4 linked regions of the Lonchura striata genome follow. The protein of the gene in region 1 interacts with the protein of each later gene in a pairwise test. Links are inferred from orthologs where the notes say so. Each region holds a gene or a part of one and is shown on either strand. Other genes may lie near its edges.

What was found.
Region 2: the proteins of ABI3 (region 1) and HOMER1 interact in binary tests that used the Homo sapiens proteins (3 or more experiments, as listed by UniProt). The two-hybrid records come from large-scale screens. The link is inferred for Lonchura striata from reciprocal best matches to the Homo sapiens genes ABI3 and HOMER1.
Region 3: the proteins of ABI3 (region 1) and KIAA0408 interact in binary tests that used the Homo sapiens proteins (3 or more experiments, as listed by UniProt). The two-hybrid records come from large-scale screens. The link is inferred for Lonchura striata from reciprocal best matches to the Homo sapiens genes ABI3 and KIAA0408.
Region 4: the proteins of ABI3 (region 1) and EVL interact in binary tests that used the Homo sapiens proteins (3 or more experiments, as listed by UniProt). The link is inferred for Lonchura striata from reciprocal best matches to the Homo sapiens genes ABI3 and EVL.

The regions. Positions count from the first base shown.
Region 1 is NC_134627.1:7,978,494-7,986,156, forward strand, and holds the start of ABI3 (ABI gene family member 3), read right to left. Parts: upstream 3,003-7,663; 5' UTR 2,973-3,002; coding exon 2,856-2,972; intron 1,506-2,855; coding exon 1,338-1,505; intron 859-1,337; coding exon 682-858; intron 1-681. Other genes in the region: GNGT2 (guanine nucleotide-binding protein G(I)/G(S)/G(O) subunit gamma-T2), read left to right, coding at 6,959-7,042. UniProt on the Homo sapiens protein: May inhibit tumor metastasis. In vitro, reduces cell motility.
Region 2 is NC_134642.1:12,141,586-12,148,822, forward strand, and holds the start of HOMER1 (homer protein homolog 1), read left to right. Parts: upstream 1-4,237; 5' UTR 4,238-4,387; coding exon 4,388-4,392; intron 4,393-7,237. UniProt on the Homo sapiens protein: Postsynaptic density scaffolding protein. Binds and cross-links cytoplasmic regions of GRM1, GRM5, ITPR1, DNM3, RYR1, RYR2, SHANK1 and SHANK3.
Region 3 is NC_134605.1:61,603,815-61,611,441, forward strand, and holds the start of KIAA0408 (uncharacterized protein KIAA0408 homolog), read left to right. Parts: upstream 1-4,619; 5' UTR 4,620-4,733; intron 4,734-7,627. Other genes in the region: MTCL3 (microtubule cross-linking factor 3), read left to right, coding at 1,228-1,296, 1,923-3,098, 4,397-4,507.
Region 4 is NC_134608.1:12,187,723-12,195,068, reverse strand, and holds the start of EVL (ena/VASP-like protein), read left to right. Parts: upstream 1-4,333; 5' UTR 4,334-4,528; coding exon 4,529-4,551; intron 4,552-7,346. UniProt on the Homo sapiens protein: Ena/VASP proteins are actin-associated proteins involved in a range of processes dependent on cytoskeleton remodeling and cell polarity such as axon guidance and lamellipodial and filopodial dynamics in migrating cells.

The sequences.
Region 1 (7,663 bases):
GAACCCTCCCGTGGGGGATTTCTGGTGTGGGGAGGATCCGTGGGGCTGGGGGCCTCTGAACCTCCCGTGTGAACCCTTCTGTGGGGGATTTCTGCAGTGGGGAGGATCCGTGGGGCTGGGAGGGCTCTGAACCTCCCGTGTGAACCCTTCTGTGGGGGATTCTGCAGTGGGGAGGATCCGTGGGGCTGGAGGCTTCTGAACCTCCCGTGTGAACCCTTCTGTGGGGGATTTCTGCAGTGGGGAGGATCCGTGGGGCTGGGGGCCTCTGAACCCTCCCGTGGGGGATTCTGCAGTGGGGAGGATCCGTGGGGCTCCAAAAACCCATCCCGTGGGTGCCTTCTGGAGTGGGGGAGGATCAAAGGAGCTGCAAGGCTTCCAAAGCCCTCCTGTGGGGTTTTCCTCAGTGGGGGAGGATCCGTGGGGCTGAGAGGCCTCCAAAACCCTTCTGTGGACAACCTTTCAGAGCTGGGCAAGGCTCCATGGGGCTCTGAGGCTCCCAAAGCCCAGCTGGGAAAGGCTCTGTGGGGTGCCCCAGAGCTGAGCGGGCACGGACAGAGCCCACTGCCCCGTGGAGGAGGCACCTGAGCCACCTGTGAGCCCCTCAGGGGGTGCTGGGGACACCGGGGACACCGGGGACAGAGAAGCGCCACCCAAGCCCCCTGTGGGACCCCCGGTGCTGACCTTGACCCCGTGGCCGATGCCGTCCAGCACGCTGAAGTTGAGGGGTTTCCTGTAATAGGGCTCCAGCACGGGGGGGTTTGGGGGAGCCACGACCTTCTGGCAGCTCAGGAACCTCGTGGCGACGGTCAGCGCGCCGATCCCGCGGCGCGACACCTTCTCCTGGTGCACGTCCACGCTCTGCCGAGGTGACACCGGCCCCAAAATGCCACCCCAGGCTGTCCCCCCCTGCCCCGGGTGCCACCGTCCCTGCCAGCCCCGTGTCCCTGCCCGGGGGGGAGGCAGGGCGGGGATGGGGGTCGGGATTGCCCCGGCACAGCCCCGATGTCACCGCAGCGGGGCCGACCCGTCCCAAAGCCGGGAATGGGGGGCGCTGCCCCAAGAGGGGGACGTGGGGCTCAGCCACCCCCGGGGCCGCAGGGTCCTGTCCCCTCCCGCGGCCGGACAGGCTCGGGGCTCGGGGCTCGGGGCGGCCCCAGCGCCGGGAGGAGCCCGGGTGGCCGCGGGGCTCTGCAGCAGGACGATGCTCCGAGCTCTGAGCTCCCGCTCGGAGACTCGGGGGCGGTTTGGGATTTGGGATGGGAAAACCGCCCCGGCACCAACCCCTGCCCGTCCCGGAGGTGGCTCCCCCGGCGCTCGCAGCCCCCGGCCGGTCCCACCTGTGCCACGCCGGCGATGTCGGCCTCCAGCCGGCGCAGCTGGGCCGCCTGCAGCTCCAGCAGGCGCAGGAAGGCGCCGGCCAGGCTGCGGACCTGGTAGGCGACGCTGGCCAGGGACTGCGTGCTCAGAGCCATCGTCTGCTCCAGCGCCTTCCTCTTGTCGCCGGCCTGCGGGGGACACGGCCGGCCGTGGGACGAGCCCTCCCCGCCCGGCGCCGCCGCCGGAGGAGTTTGCTTCTGCTTTCCAAATGCCTCCTCACGCTGAGCCCCGGCTGCGGGGAGCAGCCCGGGGTAACCCGGGGTTCCTGCCGGGAATGATGCCCCGGCACGGCCGGAGGGCACCGAGTGCCCGGCTCAGCCTCCGGCCACCCCTGGGGACAGCCAGAGGAGCCACGGGACAGCTGGGGGTGGCAGCAGCCGAGCGGGGCTCTCGGGGCTCTCAGCCGAACCGGGGCTCTCAGCCGAACCGGGGCTCTGTCAGCCGAACCGGGGCTCTCGGGGCTCTCAGCCGAACCGGAGCTCTGTCAGCCGAACCGGGGCTCTGTCAGCCGAACCGGGGCTCTCAGCCGAACCGGGGCTCTCGGGGCTCTCAGCCGAGCCGGGGCTCTCAGCCGAACCGGGGCTCTGTCAGCCGAACCGGGGCTCTCAGCCGAACCGGGGCTCTCAGCCGGGGCTCTCAGCCGAACCGGGGCTCTCAGCCGAACCGGGGCTCTGTCAGCCGAGCCGGGGCTCTCGGGGCTCTCAGCCGAACCGGGGCTCTCGGGGCTCTCAGCCGAACCGGGGCTCTCAGCCGAACCGGGGCTCTGTCAGCCGAACCGGGGCTCTCAGCAGAACCGGGGCTCTCGGGGCTCTCAGCCGAACCGGGGCTCTGTCAGCCGAACCGGGGCTCTCAGCCGAACCGGGGCTCTGTCAGCCGAACCGGGGCTCTCTTCGGCCGTGCCGGGGCTCTCAGCTCTCGGAATAGCTCAGCTCATTTCCCTCCGGTTCTGCCCCGCTGGCTCCGGGCCCTTGGGAGCCGCCTCGGGGCCGGGAGGAGCCACGGCCACGGCCCTGGTGGGCACACCGGGACCCCTGCCCGGCAGGGAGGGCCCGAGCGGGCATTTTCCTTCTGACTTCATCGCCTGAGCTCCTGCACTCGACCCTCATGGGCCAGAGAGGGAGGAGGATGAGGATGAGGAGGAGGATGAGGATGAGGAGGGATGCACCAGCAGAGCTTCACGCTCGCCCTGCGTGCGCAGGCCCTGCCAGGTGCCACCTCCCAGCCCCTGTGACACGCTGTGCCACCTCCCCAGCCCTGTGCCAAGGCTCCACCGAGCCCTGGAGATCCCTCCCTCCACCCAGACCTCTGCGAGAGCTGCTGGGGAGCAGAGGCCAGCCCGAGGCACGGGCAAGCAGCGCAGGGCGGCCGGGCCGGGAGCCGGCGGGGATGCTCGGGCTCCCGGGGCACAGCTCCAGCCGCCGCCCCGCGGGGCTGGCATCGCCCCGGCCCGGCCCGGCGCGGCCCGGCGCGGCGCTGACCTGCAGGTAGTTGCTGTGGCAGTAGTCGGCCACCCGCAGCAGGTTGCCGTGCTGCTCCCGCAGCCGCTGCCGGCCCGCGGGGATGTCGCTCAGCCGCAGCCGCTCCAGCTCCGACATCGCGCCGGGCTCCGCTGCCGCTTCCTCCCCGGGGCCGCCTTTTGAAGCCGCTGCCGGCGCTGACGCAGGGCCCGCGGGCGCCGCGGTGTCCCCGTGCCCCCGGGACACCCCGCCCCGCCGGGGACGAGCGGGGCCGCGGCCGTGGGGACAGCAGCCCCGGGGCGCGGCGGGGACGGCAGCGGGGAGGGCGGAGAGGCACCGGGAACCGGGGCTGCAGGGCGGGAGTGACCCCGAAAGGGTCCCGACACCAGAGGGATGCCGGCCCCTAAAGGATCCTGATCCCAGAGGGATCCTGATCCCAAAAGGATCCTGACCCCAGAGGGATCCTGATCCCAGAGGGATCCTGATCCCAAAAGGATCCTGACCCCAGAAGGATCCAGACCCCAAAAGGACCCAGACCCCAAAAGGACACAGACCCCAAAAGGATCCCGACTTCAGAAGGATCCTGATCCCAGAAGAATCCAGACTCCAAAAGGATCCCGACTTCAGAAGGATCCCAACCTCAGAAGGACCCTGACCCCAGAAGGATCCAGATCCCAGAAGGATCCAGACTCCAAAAGGATCCAGACCCCAAAAGGATCCTGACCCCAGAAGGATCCAGAACCCAAAAGGATCCTGACCCCAGAGGGATCCTGATCCCAGAGGAATCCTGATCCCAAAAGGATCCAGACCCCAAAAGGATCCTGATCCCAGAGGAATCCTGATCCCAAAAGGATCCTGACCCCAAAAGGATCCTGATCCCAGAGGGATCCTGATCCCAAAAGGATCCTGACCCCAGAAGGATCCAGACCCCAAAAGGACCCAGACCCCAAAAAGATCCAGACCCCAAAAGGATCCCGACTTCAGAAGGATCCAGACTCCAAAAGGATCCCGACTTCAGAAGGATCCTGATCCCAGAAGAATCCAGACCCCAAAAGGATCCTGACTTCAGAAGAATCCCAACCTCAGAAGGACCCTGACCCCAGAAGGACCCAGATCCCAGAGGGATCCAGACCCCAAAAGGATCCCGACCCCAGAAGGATCCCGACCCCAGAGGGATCCAGACCCCAAAAGGATCCCGACCCCAGAAGGATCCTGACCCCAGAGGGATCCAGACCTCAAAAGGACCCCGACCCCAGAAGGATCCCGACCCCCAAAGGACCCCGACCCTAACACCATCCCGGCCCCGGCCCTGCCACCTGTGCCCACCAGCCAGGAGCCAGCGCCGCCCTCCCGGGGCTGGGGCACATCCAGGACTGCTCGGAGCTCTCAGGAGCTCTCGCTGCCCTTGGCTGCGCGCCTCGCCCGCCCGGTGAGGGCAGAGGGAAGGGAAAGGAAGGGCAGGGAATGTTCCTGGATGCCGGGACGCTCCCGGTGCCCCTCCCGGGACAGCCTCTCCCGGCGCTCCGGTGACCCCCGAGGTGCCCGGCCCCCATGGCTGGCGACAGCGCGTCCTTCGCTCGGGACGTTTCACATCCCCGCAGGAAATTCCCACTTCCCCGGGGCTCGGAGAGCCCCTCCACCTCTCCTCTGCTCCTGCTCCTCCCCCAGGTGCTCCCCGGGAGCCTCCCGGGCCGTGTCCCCAGCGCTGGGCCGGGCGCTTCCTGAGCCCATCCCGAGGGAAATGATGGAATTCCTGCTCCTCGTGTCCCGGCACCGCTCCGAGCGGCCCCGGTGCCGCACCGAGCTGCCCCGGCACCGCTCCCCGAGCCCCGGCACCGCTCCCCGAGCCCCGGCACCGCTCCCCGAGCCCCGGCACCGCTCCCCGAGCCCCGGCACCGCTCCCCGTGCCCCGGTACCGCTCCCCGAGCCCCGGCACCGCTCCCCGAGCCCCGGCACCGCTCCCCGAGCCCCGGCACCGCTCCGAGCGGCCCCGGTACCGCTCCGAGCCCCGGTACCGCTCCCCGAGCCCCGGCACCGCTCCCCGAGCCCCGGCACCGCTCCCCGAGCCCCGGCACCTCTCCCCGAGCCCCGGTACCGCTCCGGGTTGCCCCGGCACCGCTCCCCGAGCCCCGGCACCGCTCCCCGAGCCCCGGCACCGCTCCCCGAGCCCCGGTACCGCTCCGGGTTGCCCCGGTACCGCTCCGAGCGGCCCCGGCACCGCTCCGAGCGGCCCCGGCACCGCTCCCCGAGCCCCGGCACCGCTCCCCGAGCCCCGGCACCGCTCCCCGTGCCCCGGCACCGCTCCCCGAGCCCCGGCACTGCTCCCCGAGCCCCGGCACCGCTCCCCGTGCCCCGGCACCGCTCCCCGAGCCCCGGTACCGCTCCGAGCGGCCCCGGCACCGCTCCCCGTGCCCCGGTACCGCTCCCCGAGCCCCGGCACCGCTCCCCGAGCCCCGGCACCGCTCCCCGAGCCCCGGCACCGCTCCGAGCCCCCTCGGCCCGGGACCCCTCCCGACCCGGGGGAAGCAGCCGGGACTCCCGGGGGTCAGTGCTGGGGTCAGTACCGGGGTCAGTGGTGGGGTCAGTGCTGGGGTCAGTGCTGGGGTCAGTTCCAGGGGTCACTCCCAACAGTCACTCCCAGGAATCTCTCCCAGGGGTCACTCCAGGGGTCACTCCAGGGGTCACTCCCAGGGGTCACTCCCAGGGGGCACTCCTGGGGTCACTCCCAGTGATCTTTCCCAGGGATCATTCCCAGGGTTCATTCCCATGGTCACTCCCAGTAGCCACTCCTGGGGTCACTTCCAGTGGTCACTCCCGCCACTCCGGGCAGGATCCAGACCTGCCACAGGCTCGGCCACTCCCCAGGCTCGGCCACTGTTCAGGCTCGGACACTGTTCAGGCTCGGACACTCCCCGGGCTCGGACACTCCCCGGGCTCGGACACTCCCCAGGCTCGGCCACTCCCCGGGCTCGGACACCGCCCAGGCTCGGACACTCCCCGGGCTCGGACACTGTTCAGGCTCGGACACTCCCCGGGCTCGGACACTGCCCGGGCTCGGACACTGCCCGGGCTCGGACACTCCCCGGGCTCGGACACTCCCCGGGCTCGGACACTGCCCGGGCTCGGCCACTCCCCGGGCTCGGACACTCCCCGGGCTCGGCCACTCCCCGGGCTCGGACACTCCCCGGGCTCGGACACCGCCCGGGCTCGGACACTCCCCGGGCTCGGCCACTCCCCGGGCTCGGACACTGCCCGGGCTCGGCCACTCCCCGGGCTCGGACACTCCCCGGGCTCGGACACTGCCCAGGCTCGGACACTGCCCAGGCTCGGCCACTCCCCGGGCTCGGACACTGCCCAGGCTCGGACACTCCCCGGGCTCGGACACTCCCCGGGCTCGGACACTCCCCGGGCTCGGACACTCCCCACGCTCGGCCACTCCCCGGGCTCGGACACTGCCCAGGCTCGGACACTCCCCGGGCTCGGACACTGCCCAGTGCAGGGCCGGGGTCTCCCGGGGTCTCCCGGGGTCTCCCGGGGTCTCCCGGCCGGACCCCCCCGCCCTCCCTGCCCGGCCCTCCCCGGCCCTCCCCGGCCCGGCCCCTCCCCGGCCCGATTAGGCCGGGCTTTGGGGCTAATTCCCAACACCTGACCGGCTTAGGCTGCTGAGCCCATTATCAGCTTAGCAGCAAAGACATCTGCTGCTCGGGGGCAGCGCCGGCCCGCAGCCTCTGCGCTGCCTCCATGGGGCTCTGAGCGGCCCCGGCGCCCCGGTGAGTGCCCCGGGGCACCGGGAGCCGCTTCCCCCGCTTCTGGGAGCTCCCGGGGCTGCCGGTGTCCCCAGGGATGTCTGGGCGCGTTCTTTTTTTTGGGAAAAAAGATTTGGGTTTCCCCAGCCTCCACACGCCAAAAACTCTCAGGGCAGCGCAAATAACGGAGCTCAGGGCGATGGAGGAGCCGTGCTGGGAAAAGCTGGGGGAATGAAAGCTGAGATGTTTTATTCCTTCAAAAAGCTGGGAGGATGTTCCTAGGCAGTGGTCAGGGCTGCTGGGGGGTCACAATCCACTGGCACACAGCAGTGATCCCAAAAATCAATGACCCAAATAATGCCTCAGTTCCAGGGCACGATGGCTCAGGACATGACCGAGAAGGAGCTGCTGAAGATGGAGCTGGACCAGCTGAAGAAGGAGGTGAAGAACGAGAGGCAGATGGTGAGTCCCTCACTGCAGGGAGGGAAAAGGAGGGGAGGAGAAGAACCCCAGGCCCAAAATCCACCCGAGGGGAGGAGAAGAACCCCAGGCCCAAAATCCACCCGAGGGGAGGAGAAGAACCCCGGCCCCCGAAATCCACCCGAGGGGAGGAGAAGAACCCCAGGCCCAAAATCCACCCGAGGGGAGGAAAAGAACCCCAGGCCCAAAATCCACCCGAGGGGAGGAACAGAACCCCAGGCCCAAAATCTACCCGAGGGGAGGAAAAGAACCCCAGGCCCAAAATCCACCCGAGGGGAGGAAAAGAACCCCGGCCCTGAAATCCACCCCCAAAGCCAGGCAGGAGCACCCACGCTGCCCCTAAAGCTCTGGGATGCCCTGGGACAACCCCGGGAATATTTGGAATGCTCTGGCAAATCCCAGGGGTGGTTTTGGGACTCCGCAGGGATCATTTGGGACACCCCAGGGGCGGTTTTGGGATGCCCCAGGGATGGTTCTGGCACACCACAGGGGCGGTTTTGGGACTCCGCAGGGATCATTTGGGACACCCCAGGGGCGGTTTTGGGATACCCCAGCCCAGGCTCGTGTCCCACTTGCCCATTGTGGCCCTGGGCTGGATCCCTG
Region 2 (7,237 bases), on another chromosome or scaffold:
GCTTCTTGATGTTCTGCTCTTCCAGGACTTTGAGCAGTCAGCTCATGTTGATTCATAGCAGGCTTGAGATTCAGACAGCAAAGCCATCTGGTTTTTTTTTTCCTTCTACAGGTATCCCACTGAGAGACTCAAAGTAGCATTCCTTTCAGAGATACCAGTAACTGCTGCCAAGTTTACAGGTGTTGTCCCATCTGGTTGGCCATCCTGGGCAAGGGTGTCAGAACAGGGTTTGGCAGCTCAATAGCTGGCTACGATATACACACCAGGAGTATGCTACTTCAATTCTGCAAAATAACACTCTTTCCCCTGCACCACCCTGTGCTTTGCCTTGCCTGAAGCCATCCATCTCTTATTTGATTGTGGCATTACCTGGTTTTTTTGTGAAGGAACAGCCACTGAGCTGCTGATGATTTCCAGGAATGCTCAAGACTGCCTCCATCAAAGTTCTCTAGACAAAGAAGTGTTCTAAAATACCAGGGGAAAAACCCCAAAGCAATTAACTTAGAGCTAAAAGTCTTGTCATCAGTGTTAAAATTCTCTATTTTGTGTCACTTCAGTCTTCAAGATGAGGTGATTGTGTATTTCTCATGTTAATATCTATGATTAATTACTCTGCTTGCTTACTTTGTATCTGTATGTACAGTTCTGCCTTAGCTGACATAGATCACCATGCTTTTGTATCATATATTACTATCATATATTAATTTGGGGAATGGCAAGACAGAAAAGGGATTTCAGTGAGGTTGGCAAGTATAAAGAGAGGCTTTCCTCCACAAGACAAATAATGTTAACTAGATAAAACCAACCTGAACACTAATCAAGACTGTAAAAGGGTGTAATTGAGACAAAGCTTAAATCTTAGCGAAACCTGTCAGAACTGGAGGCAATGTAACAATAAATATGGAAGAGAAGTAATCAATTAGGTGGAATTTCTGTACTTAAATGTAATAATAAATAAAAATTGTTTAAATGAAGAATTAAGAATGAAAAAAAAATCAGATTTACTTGAAATAAATCTTTGTCTCTACGGTTCTGGTCCTCTACCCAGGATCTTATCCATCCCAGTACTCATATTTTATTACTTATAAAAGGGCATTAAATATACAGCCCATTTATTTAACGAGTAAATAAAGACATTATTGAGATCCCATGTTTCTTTGTCCACAATTCTGTTCACACCTCTGATTCTCAAGTGAGCACACTATTCTTCACCCCAGGGTTCAGTGTGTATTTGTCTATTTTTATATTTTTCTCTTTTATCTTAATTCTTGGGGATTTCTGGGTTTGTACCCATGCTGTAGAATAGCATACTTCATGCACGACAAATACATGAACAAGTTGAAAGGCAGAGACAGATAGAATCATCTTTGTGATATCTAAACAAAATACTGTGAACATAATGAAATACTAAGGCGTTTGCATTAGTGTGTGAGCTTGAGCTGAAAGAACAAAATATAGACTCCTAACTACTGAATATAGACTCCTAACTACTTGACATCAGTGAATACGTACATATAAGCTACTTATTGATTATGCTTGCCTAGTTGGCATTAATTTTGATCTTTTTCACTCTAATCATATAGAAAAAGGAATAGTTGTGGATCTCCATCTTCCCTCCCCACCCCAACACCAGAGTACCTCCCTTTTATGATAGAAGTTTACACACACTATTTGATTTTTAGTGGAAAATACATAGAACTTCATATTTTAGAGGTAGTAGGTGAAGCCCAACCAGAGCAATTGCAGTCCAGTGAAGTAATGCAGCCTTATCATAACCATACAGGTTCTGAGCATTGCACACAACAAACTTTAGACTGTTGTCACTCAGACTAAACTTTTTTTAGCTCAGTGCCTTTACAGTAGCTTACGAGGTGGTGTGTGGGAAATGAGAAATGGACAACTGAGGAAGCTGTTCTTTTCTGCCTTGTGAGGCAGTATGCCTTGCTGCTACTCCCCTAGTAATGATTCATGCTGGGTTTCCTATGACTGTTTGTGATTGGAGGAGGTTTGCCTTGATATTTAATTTACCATGCTTACTTTTCCCATAGCTGATTACTTTTAGAGGTCAAAATGTTGAAACAAGAGCCTGTAAAGCATGCATCTGTAAATTAAAATAAGTTTTGGAAATATGCAGCCTGACTCTAGGAAGATCAGATTGTTAGGTTAATGCTTTATCTGTCTTTTATTCCAGCCTCTTAATAGGATATACTCGGTCACAGGTAATAGAGGTTCTATGAGAGGACAAGTAACTCTTTGTTAAAAACAACAGCTTTAACATATTTGGTTTTATCATGATTTACAATTCTGTAACACACACTGGTAATATTCTAGGCTTGTTCAATTTTTATGTGGAGATTGGTATATAGTATAGTATCAATATTTTCCTCTTATGCTCATTGTAGTTTAATATGCCTCTGGTAGCTACAACCTCACTTAAGCAGAAAATACCATCAAAATACTGAGATACCATGAAAATACTCCTAGCAAGGAGCATGTTCCACCTGGGGTATCCCAATGCCACTGGCAGTGTACTGGAGTAGTTAAACCTAATGTTTACAAATTGAGGGAATCTCAGGCAGTTAATGGAAGTATTTGCAGAATTTTAGATGAGGTATATCCCTGCAAGATAGTACATGATGCTGGAACTTGGGCAACTGTGATGGATTAGAAGCTTACTGTTTGCATGGCACAGCTGAAGAACTCAGCCAGATATTATAGGTCCTGTCCAGCTTACTTTCTTTTCGATAGTACTAGCGTGGATGTGCGGGAATGTACGTTTTTGGGGGGATAATTTTAGAACGGCTGCCGTGTTTCTTCCCCGTTCTTCCGGCAACGCTGTCTGTGTTAAGTGTCTGCAGGGTGCCTGCAGAGCACGGGGACGCGGGCCTGTGTTTTGGCAAGGCGGAGGGCCGGGCAGTTGCAGCAGCCACGCTCCGGAGAGGGCTGCGCACCGCCTTCGCCCGTGACTCCGTGACACCGGCTCTCCCCGCGAGCCGCTGGGCGCGGCGTTGCCGTGGAGACGGCGCCGCAGGGGCCGGGGGCGGGAGGAGGCGGCCCGGCGCCGCCAGCGCCCCGAGCCCTCCCCGCTCCGCTCTCCCCCCGCCGCCGTTCCCTATTATAGAAGAGCTTCCGGCGGCGTGGACCGCTCTGACATCATCCTCCGCACCCGGGTGACGTCAGCGCCGGGAGCGGGGCGTGACGTCGGTGCGTAGGGGAGCGCGGTGACGTGTTCTATTTAAAGCTCCCCGGGCGGAGGATGGAGGCAGAGCGGGCAGGTGCCGCCGCGGGCAGGAGCGCGCTGGCTGCGTGCGGCGCGGGGCTGTAGGGCAGGGCGCGGCTCCTCTCCGCTCTTCTCGTCCCTCGCTTTCCCTTCTCTTGCGTTCCCGTTCCCCGGGAAGGAGGAGCGGGACGGAGGTGCGCCCTCCGCGCGGCGGCTGCGCCTGCCCGCCGCGAGGGGACGAGCGGGCGGTGGCGGAGGTGTGAGGCGGAGGCGGGGGATACGAGCAGGCACAGGCAGCGGCTCGGTGGCGCCGGAGCAGCCAGGCACCGCCTGAGGCGGCCATCGCTCCCTCCCTCCGTCCCACCGGCGGGGCTCAGCCTGCGGCCCCGCCGCAGAACAGCGCGGGCTCGACGGCGGCAGCCCCTCCCGCCGCCCGCTGTCAGTGACCGATCCGCCGCGCCCCAGGACGATGCCCGCCCGCTTGCTGCAGAAGAAGGCGTGACGGCGAGGAGCGGGCCCGCCGCCGCGGGAAGGAGGAGCGGTGCCCCGCATCTCCGCAGCCGGGGGCGGGCGGGCGGATCGGGGGAACGCGGTGCCCCGGTGCCCGCGGGCGACGCGCGGCCGCAGGTCGTCGGTAGCGGCCTCTCGCCGGGAGTCCGATGCCAGCGCCGGTGCCACGGCTCGCTCTGCCTTCTCGGGAAAATGCATCCGTGCCCGCCACGCTGCTGGCGGCGGTGCTAGGGGGAGCGTCGGCGTGGAGCTCTGTGCGCACCGCCTGCCCCATCCCGCTCCGCCTCTGAGGCACACGGAGCCCTCCGCGGCCGCGCACGTCCCGGCGAGAAGCGCCGCAGCCGCCGCCAGTCCCTCGCGAAGAAGGCGAGCGCCTCCCCGTTCGCCTGCAGGAGGGGACTCGTCCGCCCCCGAAGCCATCGCTGCCGCCCGCCCGGGGCCCGGAGCCGCTGCCTGCGGGCGCCCGGCGGGGCCGGTGGCCATGGGAGCCCGGCCCGCGGGGGGCGCTCCCTAGGGCGCGGGCGGCCCTGCTCGGCCCCCGGCAGCTGCGGTGAGCTCAGAGCAGCGGCCCCGCCGCCACGGGGCTGCAGAGCTGCCAGCGCGGCGAGGAGCGCCCCGGGGACGCGGCACCACCGGTGCCAGGCGCTGCCGGCCGCCATGGGGTAAGGATGTCGCGGGGGCCGCCGGGCTGGTGCCGGGGCGGGGGGTGGGAGCGGCCGCCCGCGGAGCTGTGGGCGCTGCTGGATGCGCACGGAGGCGAGGGGTCTCGCTGGCGGGGGTGCGCCAGCAGCAGGAATCCTGCTGCAGTCGGTGCCGTGCATCAGCCCGGCGAGGGGAGAGAGAGCCCTGCGATCCGAGAGGGGCGCACCGCGAGCTGCAGAGGTTTGTCTCCGCCGTAGCCACATCGGAATTCTGGAAGAGCCGTCTCGGCTCCCAGTTCCTCACCGTGAGGACCTTTCCCGGGTTATTAGGCGATGTTCAGTCCTGAGAACGAGTGCTTTAAACTCAGTACGCTAGGGTGAAATTCCAGAACAGGGAACGTTGACTCTTCTGGAGTCTTCATAGAATATCGAACTACATGGGAATTTCTCAATAAATTGAAGGCTCTGAGGAAGTCGGCTTTACAGCAGGTTCCCTAGTAAACTAGGGAATCCACTTGAGATCTTAAGGAAATGAGAAGGAATAAAATCTGTAAAATTAGTCAGTTCTCATACAAATTAGTAGATAAAAATGTGACCTAGATACCTATGAAAAGTTTCCACAGTCATATCCTTAGGAATTTGTATAGTGATTTGAAAAAATAATCCAGACTGCCAGGCTTGTCTGATAGTGGAATGGAAACTCATCCATGTTCCAAAGCAACAGAAATCTGGTATGATCTGGCAAACTGCAAGGTGGAGGCAGTCTACAAAAGTTACAAATCATGTCCTTTGTATATTGGTCACTTAATAATTTGGATGTGAAATTGGCATATTACTGTGGGAGTTAGAGATGCCGCTTCAAGCTGTTTAGGACATTTGAATTCTTCAATTTATTAACTTTCTTGCATGTGTGGTGATAACAGCTGCATCCTTGTCTCTATCACTGGGGGGTCACAGGTCAAGATGTGGGAAGGAATGACTCTTTGCTCCTTAGGCTTGTTTTTATTTTTCTGTTGTCTTCCCTTCCATTAAAAAAATTCAAACGGAATAAACCCAGACTTGCAGCTGTCTACATATCCAAGAAAGTGATGTTTCTGCCAAAAGTCTAAATGATACAATCATTTTTTGGAATATATACTTAAAATTGCTAATCACACATAGGATTATATAAAATTAAAATAACGGAAACATTCTCATTGATTTAAAATGGATACTAATGTTTGTAGATATTTGGGTTAAGCATATCATATTACAAATCCACTGAACTGTTGAAGAGGAGCAAACATTTTGTCTCCAGAACTCCAGCTCTCCTAGTGTTTTAGTGTAATAGTTTCTTAATAAACACTACAAATCTCCATCTGTAGAGAGCTAAAAAATCTTAAAAACCACAGTTGTTGGTACAATGACTTGAGTAGTATCTTGGCAAATTAAAGTAAATATGCTAGCAAATATTTCAAAGATATTATATACAGTATGCTTTGGGGTATTGCAATATAGAATTCCCTTGCACACCACCTTCTAACAAGGAGGACAAACCCTGAAATGTAGGAATGTGTTACTGATAAGCCTGAATCTCTCTAAATTTGGCCAGGGCCAGCACCTACTTAGTGCAACTATGGTTAAGTATCAGACATCTCTTACTGTTCAGAGCAGAGGCCTTGATTTGATAGCTGTTTTGAATCAATTTCTAAATGCAGGTACCCATGGATTTCAGAGTATTTCTACACCAAGATTCACTGGGCTTTTCATTCAACAGTTCTCTTTAGACCTTAGTAGAGCTCCTATGCTCTACTAAGGTCTAAAAATTGAGCATTCTAGAAGCAAGTTGCAAAATCATTGGTAATTTAATGTACCTGAGTCACATGATGGTCTGTGTATTATATTCAGTATTTAATGAGTACTGGTATGCTGTGTGAGCTTGTAAACTGATCTTGTAGTACCTGGCTGGTGGAGAGCTCACCTATTTCAATAGTTAGAACACAGAAAACTTGGGGGAGGGAAGTTGGCTTACCAAAGCAGCAGGGGCTTTCTTAGTCTAATTACATATAATGAAGAATTCACTGTTCTGCTGGCGTAGTTCAGACTGTTCAACACGTGCAATACCATCAGGCAAGCCAGGTAATTATGCATTGGGTGTGTAGTGGAAACCAACCGGTGAGTAACTGGCTTTGGGCCAGTGCTGCTATTAAACATTTTTTTGGGAAACTTGAAACTAGAGAAACGTAGAGTAGTTCAGGACACTTTCTAATTGCTGTATCCTGTATGTCTGTGCGTGTCTTTTGTCTCACAGAAGGTAAGTGTATCGAGCCCTGTGGATTATATAGGCCAGACACACAGGATGTCCTTTCTTGTTTCTCTCTCTGCCAGTCTGTCACTTCTTCCAGTTCCTCATTCCTGTTGCATAAAAACAAATTCTTATCAATAGTTACTGTTGAGTCATATAACCATTGTGGACAACCTTTTGTTGGATTGACCACATACAATATAGTATTGTTTAATAGAGAAACATGGGTTTTGTGTTCTATCTTAGTTGATAACATGTATTCATATGTTCATTGCCAGTATTGCACAGTCTTCTTTGAGCAGAAATCTGATTGCATTAAAAATCCTCAAATAACAGCTCTGAAGCATAGTCAGGATTTATATTGGCAACTTAGGCTGTTGTATGCATTGAGCAGGTAAGTATTGTGTTTCAAGTTGGAAACATTGCTACATTTTTCTTGTTGCTACTGCTTGTACTTTGATCTGTGAGCAGCGGAAGTAGAGACAGTGATGCAGTTGTTGTTTAGGCTGGAATGAATACATTTCTTTACAGATACAATGGGGAAGACGCACAGCTGTGAAATCTGTTAGGGATGCAAAAATT
Region 3 (7,627 bases), on another chromosome or scaffold:
GGCTTTTAGATGGAGATGGATTCTCCCCCGGCTGGTGCAGGGAAGGGTATGTTTCTCACAGGATGTTTCTACCAGAGCACAGTCTCAAAAGGAGATGGTGTTGATTATCACTGTCCTGCCTTGGGACCTACAGTTTACCTGGAGAACACAAAAACTGGGAATGGCTGCAAGTGGGGTGTTATGTATGAACATTCTCTCATTTGTGTGCCTCTCTCCTGCTGTTTTGTTGATGATCAGTATTGAATGTTGCCAGTGGGATGGTGGCAGCTTTTTTCCACTGCTGCTGCTTTTCCATAACAAAGTTTCTGCTGTCAGCAGCTACAAGATTTTTGCTGGATATACTAGTTGGCTTCAATCTCATCCTGCTCTGAAAGCAGGAGTTTCTTTTCTACTCTCTTGGGCTATATAGCTGATATTAGGACACCAAAGAATCCCACTTATATGGTGTTTGTGTTTCTGTTCTTGAGCTGGTATGATTTGTTTCTCTTTACAATTTTGTAGTCCAAGCCGTTTTAAATGGCATTTACTTGATTATGATCTGAAAACAGAACAAGCCTAGTGACCAGAGCTATGTGTGAGTTTGTTCCTAGTGTACACTTAGGGAGGTGTGACTGCAGTACACTGCAAGCTTGAAGCCTGAGGGTGGGACACAGAGAAAGGTGTGCTTGTAGATGCACACTGGAGTCAGCTACAGATCTCAGTGACACAGTTTTATGCAGCTGTCCAAGACTAAGGCTTTTTTAGAGTGCCCTGGCCCCACCAGGGTTAATATCAAATGGGGGAGCTGGGTTTCATTGCTTGTCTCAGCTTTTCCACCTGTAAGTTATCACTTGGGATGCTAATTTTCTTACCACTCTTGTCATATGTTAAACATTTTTAATGCACTAGTCTTAAAATGTGTTGAATAAAAAAGGTAACAGGCTGATTAAACTAAAACTTTATTTGTGTGACATTGCTGTTTCATTTTTGGGCACTAGTCTTAAAATGTGTTGAACAAAAAATGTAACAGGCTGATTAAACTAAAACCTTATTTGTGTGCCATTGCTGTTTCATTTTTGGGCTATGGCATCTTTCCTCTGTATTTGGTGTCTCAAAAATTATAAGAAATTAATTCCTTTCTAGTTGCATTTGATTTGCTATATTTTAAAATGAATGACATACAAATTATATATATCTTTAATATACCTTTAGAAAAATTTAGTGCATGTCCTTTTGTTGTAATTGCAGCAATCACTGAAGAGGAGAGGAAGCAAAGACCTACCAAAAGAAAAAAAGTCACAACAGACACCAACAGAGGTATGTTGCAAGTACCTGTAGCCTTGATTCCTATGTGGAGACTTCAGGGAACTATGGAAATGGGGTACATGGTTTACATATTTGCACTTGGCTTGCTTTATGCTTTGCCGTTTGTTTTCCTGTATGCTGTGAAATGGAAGAGCTTGTACCCCAGATCTGCAGTCAGACAGCACTAATCTCAAAGACCATCTAAACAAACTTGATGATGCAACAGAATGTACCAGCTTTCACCTACTCTGTATTTTTAGGCAAAGTAAATGGCAGAAACAGTGAAACAAGATTTATAGGCTCTATTTGTGTTGACTTCAGGATTTTTGAACACTGTAGTCTGATAATGTTGCAAGCATAGAAAATATAAGGTTTTTTGCAAGCCCCCCTTTTCCCATCCCCCAAAGTACTTCTGGGAACTGTGCAAATTTTAGTCACAAGTAAAATAGTATTTTCCCCTCTTTTAATTTATTGATGAGTGAAAAAATATTGTAGGAAAATATCATAGTATCTAAAGCCATGTACCTGTGATTGTTAATCACAATTAATTACAATTGTAGTTGTAAGTTAAGGCGATCCACTGGAGGTCTTCTGTTTGACTTCAAGTTTCTTCAAATACTCCTTTTTTTTTCCCTAAGGATGACAATGAAGACCTGAAATGCCAGCTACAGTTTGTCAAAGAAGAAGCAGCCTTGATGAGGAAGAAAATGGCTAAAATTGATAAAGAAAAAGACAGATTTGAACATGAGCTGCAAAAATACAGATCGTTTTATGGGGATTTGGACAGTCCTTTGCCAAAAGGTGAAGCAGGTGGGCCCCCTACCACAAGAGAAGCTGAGCTCAAGCTTCGATTGAGGCTTGTGGAGGAGGAAGCTAACATTCTTGGGAGGAAAATAGTGGAACTAGAAGTAGAAAATAGAGGACTGAAAGCAGAGCTTGATGATTTAAGAGGAGATGATTTCTCAGGGACCACTAACCCGCTCCTGGGAGAGCAGAATGAATCCCTGTCAGAATTACGACAGCATTTGCAGCTAGTAGAAGATGAAACAGAATTGCTGAGGAGAAATGTAGCTGATTTAGAGGAACAAAACAAACGCATAACAGCTGAGCTGAACAAATACAAGTACAAGTCTGGGGCCCATGAGAGCTCTAGGCACCACGATAATGCCAAGACAGAAGCATTACAGGAGGAGCTAAAAGCTGCACGAATGCAAATCAACGAGCTGAGTGGCAAAGTCATGCAGCTCCAGTATGAGAACAGAGTCCTAATGTCCAACATGCAGCGCTACGACTTAGCCTCTCATCTGGGTATCCGTGGCAGCCCTAGAGACAGCGATGCGGAAAGTGATGCAGGAAAAAAGGAGAGTGATGATGATTCCCGCCCCCCTCACCGCAAAAGGGAAGGGCCCATTGGGGGGGAAAGTGACTCCGAAGAGGTGCGCAACATTCGGTGCCTGACACCCACAAGGTCTTTTTATCCAACACCGTCTGGGTGGCAGAAAAGCTTCACTGACAGGCAGCAGATGAAGGACATTCGCTCTGAAGCGGAGCGGCTGGGCAAGACAATAGATCGCTTAATTTCCGACACGAGCACCATCATCACAGAGGCGAGGATTTATGTGGCTAATGGGGACCTCTTTGGACTGATGGATGAGGAAGATGATGGCAGCAGAATACGTGAGCACGAGCTTCTGTACCGGATCAATGCGCAGATGAAGGCCTTCAGGAAAGAGCTCCAGGCTTTCATCGACAGACTTGAAGTTCCAAAGTCTTCAGACGATCGAAGTGCAGATGAACCTTTGTCAGTGAGTCAGGTAGACTTTTACTTATTACGGCCTACAGGTAAAAAGGCTCTGCCAAGCAAATTAAACCTCAAATTCAATCTATGGCACAAAAAGAAAATTCTTTATTCTAGGCAGTGGACAAAAAACACTGTTTCTTATATTACTTGAAATCCTCATTTGGCCATATGGAAACATATTCTACCAACAGAGTTTGTGAACAGTGAATAAATCTGATCAGAAAATCAAAATTATGCTCTAGGAGGTAGACCATTTTACTCCTTTCTGGCTTTGCAATTGCATTTGATAGAGTTGGGCCTTCATTGCCATTAAAAGCAGTGCAAACAATATTTTTGGTACATATGAACATGATTCATAAATGGACATTATTGTTTTCTTAGTGGATGGGTTCCTATTAAATAAATAAAAGGAAAAATTTATTAATTTAAAGCAAGAGGAAATACTAAATTTCAAAAACTGTAGAGAATATGGCAAACCACAGATTAAAAGAAACCATGCAAATCTACCTTATGGAGTCACAGAGCCACACAGTAATGTGAATATTGTAATTGATGTAATAGATTGCATCTTGTTGAAGGCCTGTTAATCATTGCTTGCATGCAGCAGTAGCAAGCATCTTTGTTGTGGTTTGTTTTTGCACAGAATTTTTTCAGAGAGGTTTTGGGGAGCAAACTCCTTGCTGACTCAAGATCTTTTGCCATGAAAAATGAAAATTACCTACCCTTATCTTATCATGCAATCCTATTGTTGGCATATCTTGTTATTGCTAATGAAGTTATCCAATGTTTTGTCTCTTGCTGTGTTAATTTACTTTGTACTGTCTTGCTAATTTACAGTCAAAGTAGTTGCCAGGTGAAGCTGAAAGCTGTTCTTATTCCTATGCTGACTAATTAGTCTTTTGTTTCCTTGTATCAGAAAGTCACAGACGCAGTGAGTTTAAAGCTAATCAATTACTATACATGTATTGCATGAAATCAAACAGAGATGGCATTTAGCATGCTCACTTTCTGATTTAGCAGTAGTTCTGAGCTTGTGGAGCTCCCATTAGCTTAAAGGCAGAGCACTGCATGGACCTACACAAATTTAAATCAAACTAATTAGTATTTTCTCTAAAAAAATAACAACAATTGAACACTTAACAGTTGGACATTTCAGGGCTTGACCACGCAGAACTCCTACTGAAGTAAATGGGAGATGGGCACTTGGTCCCTCCACAAGCATAGTCTGATTCACTATTTTTTTTGTTGAAACTTTGGACTTGCTATTCCATTAATTGACTGTTCTCTTTGTCTTTGTATTTACTTTCCCAGATGTTCCAGCCTATCATTTTACTTATTCTCATCCTTGTATTATTTTCATCCCTTTCATACACAACAATATTTAAACTTGTCTTTCTTTTTACACTGTTTTTTGTACTGTAAGTCATTCATCATTTACTGTTCATTGTAGTGTTATTTTCAGTTTGTTTATTTTGTCCACCCTCCAAGATAAGAAGTACAAGAGACATAGTTTCCGTAATAGCCACTGCTGTAAAAACACTGAAGACTACTTGTTTGCCAAAACCAAAGCCAAACCAAAAGAACTGCAGAAAAACATACCAAAAAGTCACCGAGTTGAATAGGAAACCTTCTCACTGTGGTATTCCAGGTAAGCAAACCGAAAATTGAATTTTTCAGTTTGTGTGGTTTTATAATTTTTGAATAAAAATTTCCTGAGGACTGGAACGAATTTAACATTCATTAATTTGCACCAAATCAGAAACAAAAGAGAAAAATGCGGAGTGGGTATGAAGACTCTTGTTACTTTTCTCACTCCTAGAAAAAGAATTTGTATTCTAGCCACATATGAATGGTAAAGCTACATTCTGTGTGTATTTTGCAGTTGTATATCAGAGCTTGTATGTATATTTTGCATAATTGTGATGATAATGTTTTTCAGCACTGTATTATGTACATTAGGCCCCAATCAAAATAGTTGGTATGTAGAGCACTATATCTGGAACAGTGGCCAGGAGCTGGAGCCTCTGTGAATGAGATACATGAGGAAAAGGTATCAGAGTAGCTGAGGAGTCTTCTGAGAGATATAGGTTGGCTGCATTCTCTCTGTGCTCTAGAAAAACAGCCATGCTGCAGTCTGACCTGGACTGATGGGAATGGTGTAAGTTACCTTGGCTGATGTCGAGTTTATCCGGTAGCATTTCCCAGTCTGTGGTCACCATGGCTCTATGTTCTCTCCCCAGATTTCAGCAGAAGTTTTGAATGGACATGGTAACTCTTGTTTTTGCTGAGTGACCCCTATCTAACTGTGCCATTGGTAGCCAGTGACCATAGTGAGGGAAGCTTGTGTACATGGGTGTGCATCAATGGTCACTGAATATTCCTTTCTTGCCTGGGAGAGGCTGAAATAAGAGTACAGGTGACTAATTTCTTTCTTTCACACTTACATAGCAGTTCCTACAAGCAGTAGATCTCCCACTATGAAAACCTCATCTGAAATGCCTGATGGAGCTCATTTTCTGTTTTATTCAACCCATGCTGAAACCACCAAGTTCCACAAATATGAATTCTTGAAATGTGAACAAGTATGTGTATTAATGACACTTCTTTTTCTACAGTTTCCATGGTGAATAATGTAGTAGTAAAGAGTGGTAATAAATAAAGCAGCTGTTTTTCTAGCTAGTGGTAAGCATCCCCTTTGGTTTATCATGTTAGCTCTCTGTTCATTCATTCCCCAGTGAGAACAGTTCATCTCCATGCCTAGGTTGTGCTCTGCTACTTTAAATAGTTGAAACATCATTTTGAGGGAAAATCCTCAGAGAGCGACAAGAGATGGGGCAATAAAATTTTTGTTATGTGAATGAAAAAAATAGTAAAAATATTCATTATTAAAAAATACAGTATTTTTCTCTTAGTCTAGCTTTTCCTCAATATACTCTACAAGTGCAGTAACCTTGATCAGATAAATCACTCAATTCCTTGATTTAATCCAAATACTTATTCCTATGAGGGGGTGTTGTCATCATTATCCATTTTATAGTTAGTGAGATGTCTGGAGGAAAATAGATAGCGTTGACTGGTTTTCTAGTAAGGGATAAAGCCAGGCCCAAAGTAATTCTGAGGAGCTTCTAAGATGTTCTAATTTATGCAGTTACATAAAATTAAGTTCCACATATTAAAAACTATTATGGCAAGATATGATCAAGCCATAATTCACAGTGAATTTCTGTAACTGGAAAAGGCCTTTTGTTTTTCAGCAGCTTCTGGAAATACTTGGAGTTTTTTCCCCCATGGATTTGCAATTTGGACATTAAATATACAACAATTTGAGCCTTAAACTTGTCATACCAAATCGTAGCACAAGACTGACTTTTTCAGTTTCTTTCTGTTTTAGTATCTCCTGTGGGGAAAAAAAATAATTTGTGTTTTCTTAAATGTTAAGAGGAAAAATCAGACTTAATCTATGATCTGAAGTTTTGGACTTCTAGGTTTTAACCCACTCTTGATTATACCTTTCTTGGTGTTGTATGTAATAAAAATGAGTAGGGAAGCTTTGATTTACAGTGAATGCATCAGTAACAGTAATACTCTAAAGTAGTAATACACTGAATTCATACATTGAATAAATCTTGAAAAATAATTGGGAAAGATTTGTTTCTTTCTCAGAAATCAGAAAAGGTAAGAATGACTTACTGAGATGAGAGGTGGAGATAATCTCCACACAGCACTGGCAATTACAACCCCATTGATTTCTCACTGTATTTTTTCTTTCATAAAACGTGGAGCTTTCTATCAGGCATCAACAAAACAAAATCAAAGCTGAGACCTTTTGGGACATTTAGGGAGCTATTGCACATGCAGCAGTCTGAAATTAAAGCACACTAAAGCATGCAAAATTATTTTAGAAGCTCCACACAGTCTTTGAATCTCTCATGAGCAGGGAGAATGGTGAGAAGCCTCACAGAGAAATCTCAGTGAGAAATTAGATGTGTTTTCCTTGTTCTTTTGCATTCAGGTTGAAGGGAGTGATTTCAGCTGCTGATCTGTTTCATGCCAGATATTTCACAACTTTAAAAGATGCTGAGAAAGCTAATAGAATGAGTATGGACATTTATCTATAGCCAAAAGATAAGATCTAGCCAATGAAATAAGTGTTCCATGTCTTGCTAAATTGAAATATCTTGATATTATGAAATCTAGTAATTATGCTTGCCAAGAAAGGAAGCAAGTTCTCCCCACTCAGTAACTGGTGGCCTGGTGGGTGAAGAGCATGTCACAGATGAGTGAGCAAATGCAGCTGAACACATCAGCATCCTCTAGCAGGAGTGCATTAGAGTCAGGCAGGGCAGAGACAGCCACAACACTGCTGATTCACTGATCTGCCTGCTGCACAGTTTGGAGTTCTGAAGACAAATAGTGAGAAGAATACAGATTTTGTTTGCATATGGGAAGGAGCTGGATATGCCAGGTTACCTATCAGTTGAAATCTCATTTAGCAGATTCACTGTTCACATTTTGGAATATTCTAGTGAAATATAAATGTTC
Region 4 (7,346 bases), on another chromosome or scaffold:
CTGTGATCAGGAATCTCAAACCCTGGATTTGAAAAGCATGAAGCATGCTTGGGCCAAAGTTGAGAGGGAAAAATTTTATTTTTTTCAATATTCATGGGCTGTGATAATTCCAAGATGTATAAATGAGGTAGGATTTTTTTGGTGAAGGTTGACATCAGAAAATCAAGCTTTTATGGTCAATCTGAAAACCTGAGAGTGAAAGAAGAAGCCTGAAGTATGTTGGATTTTCCTTGTGCATCAAAATTCACATTGTATTTTAATGCAACATATAATAGAAATACCATTGATAAAAGAAGGGGGAAAAAAAGTTCATTCTTGCCCCACCCATATTCCTCTTTAACAGCTGAAGTTTTGAGTCAATACTCCAATACTGAACACATCCTTGTTCTGTAAACTTAAGGGCACTGCAATTATTTTTACAATTTCTCCAGTACCTGAACAAACTAAGGTAGCCACTCCTTTTCTGTTTCAATAAACATTTAAAATCTTATTTTTTTAAGCTCAGGAAAGATGTTTGAATTCAGAGACAATCCTGTTGAAAGGAGATTTTTGAGTATATTCTGGGATGCTGCCTGTGATTGCTACATTTTCCTCTGTGCAGTAATTTTGGAGATGCAGTGAATGAACACTCATTAGATATGCTCTTGTTGGCTCATTTCCCTTCTTTTTGTTTTCTTCCTCATGAATTGAAGTGAATGCTGAATTTTTCAGCACAGTTGCAGGGTTTTTTTTAGTGTGGTCTGAATATTACTTCAGCATAATGGTAATGCAGGCTTAGTGACAGAAGTCCACTGTGTTAGTGGCTTTCTTCCTTTCTTGAGCAAGGGAATAAGTAGTTATTTCATTAAAATGTCTGTCTGTGATCAGATAATGTCACCAAGCATCTGGCAAAGGCTTTGGTGGAATTTCAGGTCAGGAGGACAAATACTGATACATTGATATGCTAAATAACAATAATGCAAGATGTTACACTTGAGGATATTGGGCTCTTAGCAGAGTAGCAGCATGAGGCCCTTGGATGGCAGTGAAATGCCAGATAAAACAAGAAATTTCACCATATCCTCTGCCTTGTTCTGGTTTGTCATACTTCCAGGCTTTTTTTGCATCCTTTGCTTTTTAGACAAGCTTTCACCAAGGATAACCACTTCTATTATCGTCTCTCTTGTTTGTTAGAGCCCAACATTAAAATTGCAAAGTGTTTCCCAAAACCTTCTGCTTGTCTTCAGTGGGAGGGACACTCAATGTCACATCTTTTTGGCCTCTGATCAGAAGGTGGGGTCTGGGTCCCACAGTTCTCATTATATAAATTATCCCACTCAATCTTTAGTAAATTCTTCTTTCATGTGACATAATTTCAGTTTCTGGTAAAGAGAGGGACATTTGTCATCAAATGTCTGGACTGGTTATACTGCCAGGAAGGGAATAAACAGCTTCTTGTGAAAAATGTCATTGCTGATTGTGGTTTCTGACATAATTTCTGTCTGCTTCTCAAGATCTTCAGTCTGGTTTATGGCACAGGAAGTTACAGCCTTGGTTAAAAGTTATAAGGAAGTATTACAGCCTTGCATTTATTTATGTGGCCTAATTTGGCCATTGCATGTGTTCATGTGACTTTCTGAAGCCCCTGTGTGTTCTGTTTGGTAAATTTTCATGCTGAGGCTCATTCATGTCTACAGGAGGACATGATGGTCTCAGATCTTACTATTGAATATGGGAATCCTAGTAATTAATGAATCAGAATTGAGACTATTGGTTGTTTCACATGACAGAAGTCCTGCTGTTTCTGTGTGTAATGCTGTCAGCTGTTGTGAAAGTGCTAGCCAAGAAAAAAAAAAGTTAAAATGTTATCCCAATGAAACCTTTCAACAGCTGACCTCTACTGTATATGAAAACTTTGTGGAGGATGTTTGCTTTTCTAGTCCTTCACAGTGAACCCACTGATGACAGAAGCCTTGACTTGAACAGTTAACTATTTCATTGCATTGTGGCTGTTGAGAAACTGCAGAAATTGGAAGACTCAATAGTGATTCTGTCAAGTTTGTTTCAAGAAGAATGCTTAGGGGAAGCAGTATGTTTGCTCTTAATTCTGTAGAATGGTTTTATTTTAAATAAACACCATAAAAAAGAAGCATGTTTTAAGTGAAAACTAGCCCTTTTCTACTTGATTCAAGCTAGAGAAAGATTGTGGTGAGCGAGAAAAGAGAAGCTCAGAATTCTGTCCTTCCTCCATGAGGGATGTTGGCTAGCTCTGAAGGTATAAAACTATTTCCTACAAGGTCAGGAGCAGAAAAATTGCTTGCAAGGGGTACCTCTCCCGTGCCCAGCTGCTTGGGTGCTGTATACAGTGAGCATACTTGTGGTGAAGTCAGCCTAAATATGGCAGGCGGCTTCTTCTGACGGCTGCGTTGTTCTTTTCTCTGCCAATTTTAATCTTTTATTAGGCTGTAGCCAGAATCACCTACCTTGCAGTCCTTCTCTTGCTGGATGCTTGTGGAAGAATTAATTTCTGTCAGATGGTGTGACTGCATGTGTTTTAGTGTTCCTACGGCGTGCCTTTATTGTCACTTAACACTATCACATTTGTTTAAAGGAAATAAAATGAAACCCAAGGTCACTACTACATTAAAATCACTATGTCTCAAATTAATGTGACTTTTTTTTTTTTTGTTTGTTTGTTTCCAGTGCTGGGGTTTTTTTGCCATGAGTGCCTTTTCCTTTCATCCCAGCCCTTTTTGCCTGTATTTCTCAGAGCCATGAGGTCAGATGCCACAGTTACCATGGCCTGGACCCAATCACTGTGTCTAGGAGATGTGGCAGTCTGTACCCTGTGGATGCTTTTCCAGTCTCCAAATCCCACAGCTCAGTGGGACAGCCATTGCCTTAGAGCATGTAAATCTCAGGAGCTGTAGTTTGGTTTGGCTATTTCAGACTCCAGCCAAAATCCTCCTTGTGTTTCCTTGTGCTAGAAACCAGCCCTAGCAGTAAAAGAGGCAAGTCAAGGAGGGGGGCAGCCCCAGAGGTAGCTTTGAATTTGCTGTCTCCCTGCGACTTTCCCATGCAGCATATTCTCCCACAGCCTCGTTCTCTCTTCTTCCCAGGGCTGGGGTTGATTTCCCAGGATTAGAATCTCCCTCATTTCCAGGAGCCCTCACCTTTCACCTTCTCTCCAGCCAGCAGGCAGTGCTGGGTGGCCGCAGGCTGTGGTGGCTGATGCTGAGGCTGGCGCAGCGTGCCCGGCCCCGGGGTTCAACCTCCCATCCCGCCGCTGACCTGGCCGCCGGGCAGAGCCCCTGCAGCCTCACAGCTAACACCCGTGCAGTCCCTCAGCAAACGGGCGATGGGGTGCGACTCCCGCATGTCCAGAATTCCCACGGGATTGCTGCGGGGGTGGAGAGCTCTGGCTGCCGCCGTCGGGGTGCGTTCCCCGGCGCGGTGCGCAGTGTTCGCTCCAGCTCCGCACGCCCGGCTGCCGGGCCGGTGTTTCCGAGGCGCGGCCGTGCCGTGCCTGGCCGAGCCGCTCCGGAGCGCGGCCGGGGCTCCCCCGAGCCCGGCGTGCCCCGTGCCTCCCGCTGCCCCGGGCCTGGCTTTTGGCGGCCGTGTCGCCGGGCTTGTCCCCGCGTGTCGCCCCCGGGGTGCGCAGCGGATGCTCTGCCCCCTGCGCTGGCTGCGCTGTTGCCATGGAGATTGCGTGCGCTGTTGCTAGGCAGCTGAAGCATCCTCGCCTGCACACCGCAATGCCACGAAATGCTCAACTTTCCTCATGCCCATCTCCCTTCTGTGATCTCGCAGATATGACTCCTTTGGCTCTTATCCCACTTCATTCACTTGCACTGCTGCGATTTCTTGGTGTTAACCCTGTAAACCCTAGAAAGCCCGCACGGCCCTGCAAATAGGGTTTATGGCAATGAGTTCAGGGCTGAAGGAGTTAAAGTGGTTGGGAATAGACTACAGAGGAAATGATTTCTAGCAGATAAACTACTTTAAATGTTCTGGCATTCATGGAAGGGGAGGTTTGTGGATGGAGTCTTTTGTTCCATCACTGATGGTTTAGATGAATAAAAACAGACTAAAATACCGCTACAAGGTAAGAAAATCAGCTTGAATGGGCCTAATTAATCTCTTCTGTTACGATATATATTTAGTTTTTTATTATCCTCTGCTTGTGCTTGTTGATTTTGATGTAGCATGTGAATGATAATTTAGCGATGAAGCCTGTCGTGTACCATATTTGACTTATTTGGCTTGAATAATAAAGATATCAGCCTGTATTCTTGGAGTATACTGCATTAATCAGACTTGCAGGAATGATCACATGGTACTCTATCGCCTTTTCCTGTTAGCTGCTGCTTGTCAGCAGCTGGCTGAGCTGTAGGCTGCAGGCCAGTATCTGCATACCCTTTCTCCTCAGAATATTCCAAATATACTGTCTCGTCATTATGCATTTTGCTGCAGTTTGACAAACTAAATGGTCCTCTGCACGTTAAGAAGATTATTTTAAATTTCAGAGCTTTTGTGTAGTTGCTAGGCCATGTATGCATTTGAAGAATTCAGGTAGGCTCTCTGTTTTATACATCAGTGTGCTTGGTTTTTGTTCTCACAAGGTTTTTGCTGTGTAATGTCAGTCAGCTCTACAGTTAGTTCGTCAATGTGCAGATATTTATTGTGTTTTAGAATCTCTACCCTGTGCATGGGGAGAAGTGCTTGAAGGGTTCGTTGCAGGTAACGGTAGCTTAACTGCATGATGAAGTGCAAAGCTGGGTAATTGATTATATCTTGCACAAATTTCATAGCCATGCAGCCAGAAGCAGCGAGTACAGGGTAGTTATAAATATAAACCAGAAACTGTTCTCTTTAAAAGGGTCTTTGCTATTTTTAGTCCTGGAGAATCTGACAGATGCTCCTCCAAGATAAAATACTGATGGTGATAGAGAAGAGAAAATTGATGCTTGGATTGTACATAGGATTATATTTTATATGCTGCTGCAGAGTATACATGTCTTTTTCATAACCTTGTAGCTGCAGAATTACTTATGAATTATATTTAAAATAAGAATATTGTTTAGTTTGATGGGGTTGGTTTGTAGCTTGCAAACATTTGAGCAACTGTGATTGCTAGAATATAAAATTAGCACTTTTTATTTGATATTGGTTCTGCTCGGTATTGCCTCTGCCCCCTCTCCTCCTCCATCCCCACCCCCAGTATAACTCCATCCTTATGCAAGTATTGAAGTCTATTAAAACCCCAACAGATATTTGAAGACATGAAACAGAATTTCTACACTCACTAACAGACAGTAATTTTCCTATGCAGTTTGGGACTTGAAAATTTCTGGTCAGTAGTTGTGGGGTGGGGAGTGTCTCACTTTTTGTAAAAATTTTTTTTGCTTAATGTGTTCAGTTGTTATAACTTGTGTAATGAAAATTGTCCAGATAAAATGGTGACAACATTGAAACAGCACTAGGCATCACATTGTGATACGTTTGTGTACTGTTATTATAATGCATCTTAAAATTAATCTTTCTTTTTGATTCAAAAAAATGGATTGTTTGACCAAGTATGTAACTAGAGGAGATGATGGATTCTCTTTCTAAACACAATGAGCATTCTTTATCAAAAACCTTAAAATGAAACTTTCTACCCTCAGATTAGATATTTTTAAGATTATTTCTGCCTTTTGTTAGGCAAATATATTGGCAATTTCCATTATTTTGTCACTTGCTGCTCAGTTCTGTTTTTGAGTGGTGGCAAAAGCGGCAAAAGCAGGTACAGGACACCCCCTCTCCCCAAAATGTTCTGATTCTAGCTGCAAGGGCTGAGGAGATCCAGGCTGACTGTGTATATTCCTGCTGCTGTGAAATGCAGCATGAATGCTGTCTGAGGGGAAAGATTTTACTAGAAGACTAGATAATGCTGTGTAACTGCTGTTGTCAGGGCTGTCAGGAGATGCTTGGAATCTTGACATTGCTGATTGTTGGCAGTAAATTAAGGTGAATTGTGCCCCAAACTTACTGTGAAACTTACTGTGCCCATGGAGTTGTTTGTATTTCTGCCAGTTCGTTGGGTCCTGTTCTTAACTGAGTGAAATTTTCAATAAATCTCCAATGAGAAAAAAAAAAAAAAAAAAAAAAAAAGGATGCTTTTAAAATTTTGCTTTTAAATTCTTAGCTGTCTTTCAGTGGCTTTCCTAGACATCTTGGGCTAGAAAGGCACCTACTTTTATGGCAGGAATGGTCAAATGCTGATTACACACCCATTAGGCTTATTAAATTATGTGTCATCCTCTCTTGGACTTGACTTGAAAATAGTATTAACATTTGATGTGCAGACTGCTAGACATTTTCTTTTAAGTGTTGCACTGGTAGGGCTGGTGTTTATGTATAGCAGCATTTAAATGGCATTTATTTTATTAGGAATTTCTGTGGTGTTTTGTTGAGGTTGCATCTTCATGTTGATGGGGTTTTTTTAATAGTATGATTATTCTCGTGCCTGTGGCTATTTTAGATTTTGATGGCATCAAAACAAATCTTGCAAGATAAAGATTTAAAAGATGTCTAGTTGAGCAGTGGGGTGGAAGCCTCCCTGCCAGGGGCTCCTGGAAGCAAAGTGGCTGTAGCAGCAGAGGGAACTCTTCTCTGGCCTAAGGCCCCCAGCTCCAGGGTTGCCCCACTCTCGTCCAAAGGTCCCCATCTTCCATGTGCACAAAACACAGGCTTGCACTCATCTCTCACCTTGGCCTTAACCTGAAGTGGATGCTCACGTGTGTGTTGGAGCAGCAGGGCTGTTCCATCCTCCAGTGCACCCACAGGCCTTGAGTACCCAGGTGTCCCCAGATGTGGGGAGCCCAGTGGTGCCTTCTTATGCAGACACAACCATGACATCTTTCTGTGTTACTCTGCTGGCTTTTTTCTGTCTCCACACTGGCTTTTCAAGACCTGCAGGACTCTCCAGATGGGTGGTGTGGGCTGTGGCACCCTGAGCCTATGCCAAGAGGCATCACTGCAGTCAGGCCACCCAAGTTCCCCTCTGACTTCATTTTGATGCAGCCATCTTCACTTCCCTGGTGAAATGGTGCCAAGTTATTTTTGTGAAGTGTTAAACAGCTGCTGGACCTCTCTGAAGAATTGTCTCACTTAAAGACTAGAAGTGACTCTGGTGTACTGTTTGTGAAAAACTTCGTAAAGCCCTTTGGGATGATATCTTTCCTATGTGGTTACTGGCTGGATGAAGAGAGACTTAAGCCTCTGACAAAACAGGGAGTAAATCCATAGAATAATCTTACAGCTTCTTGTATAGCCAAGCTTGGTTTATCTTCCTTTTGGAAAGAACCTAATATCCCCTGAAAAAC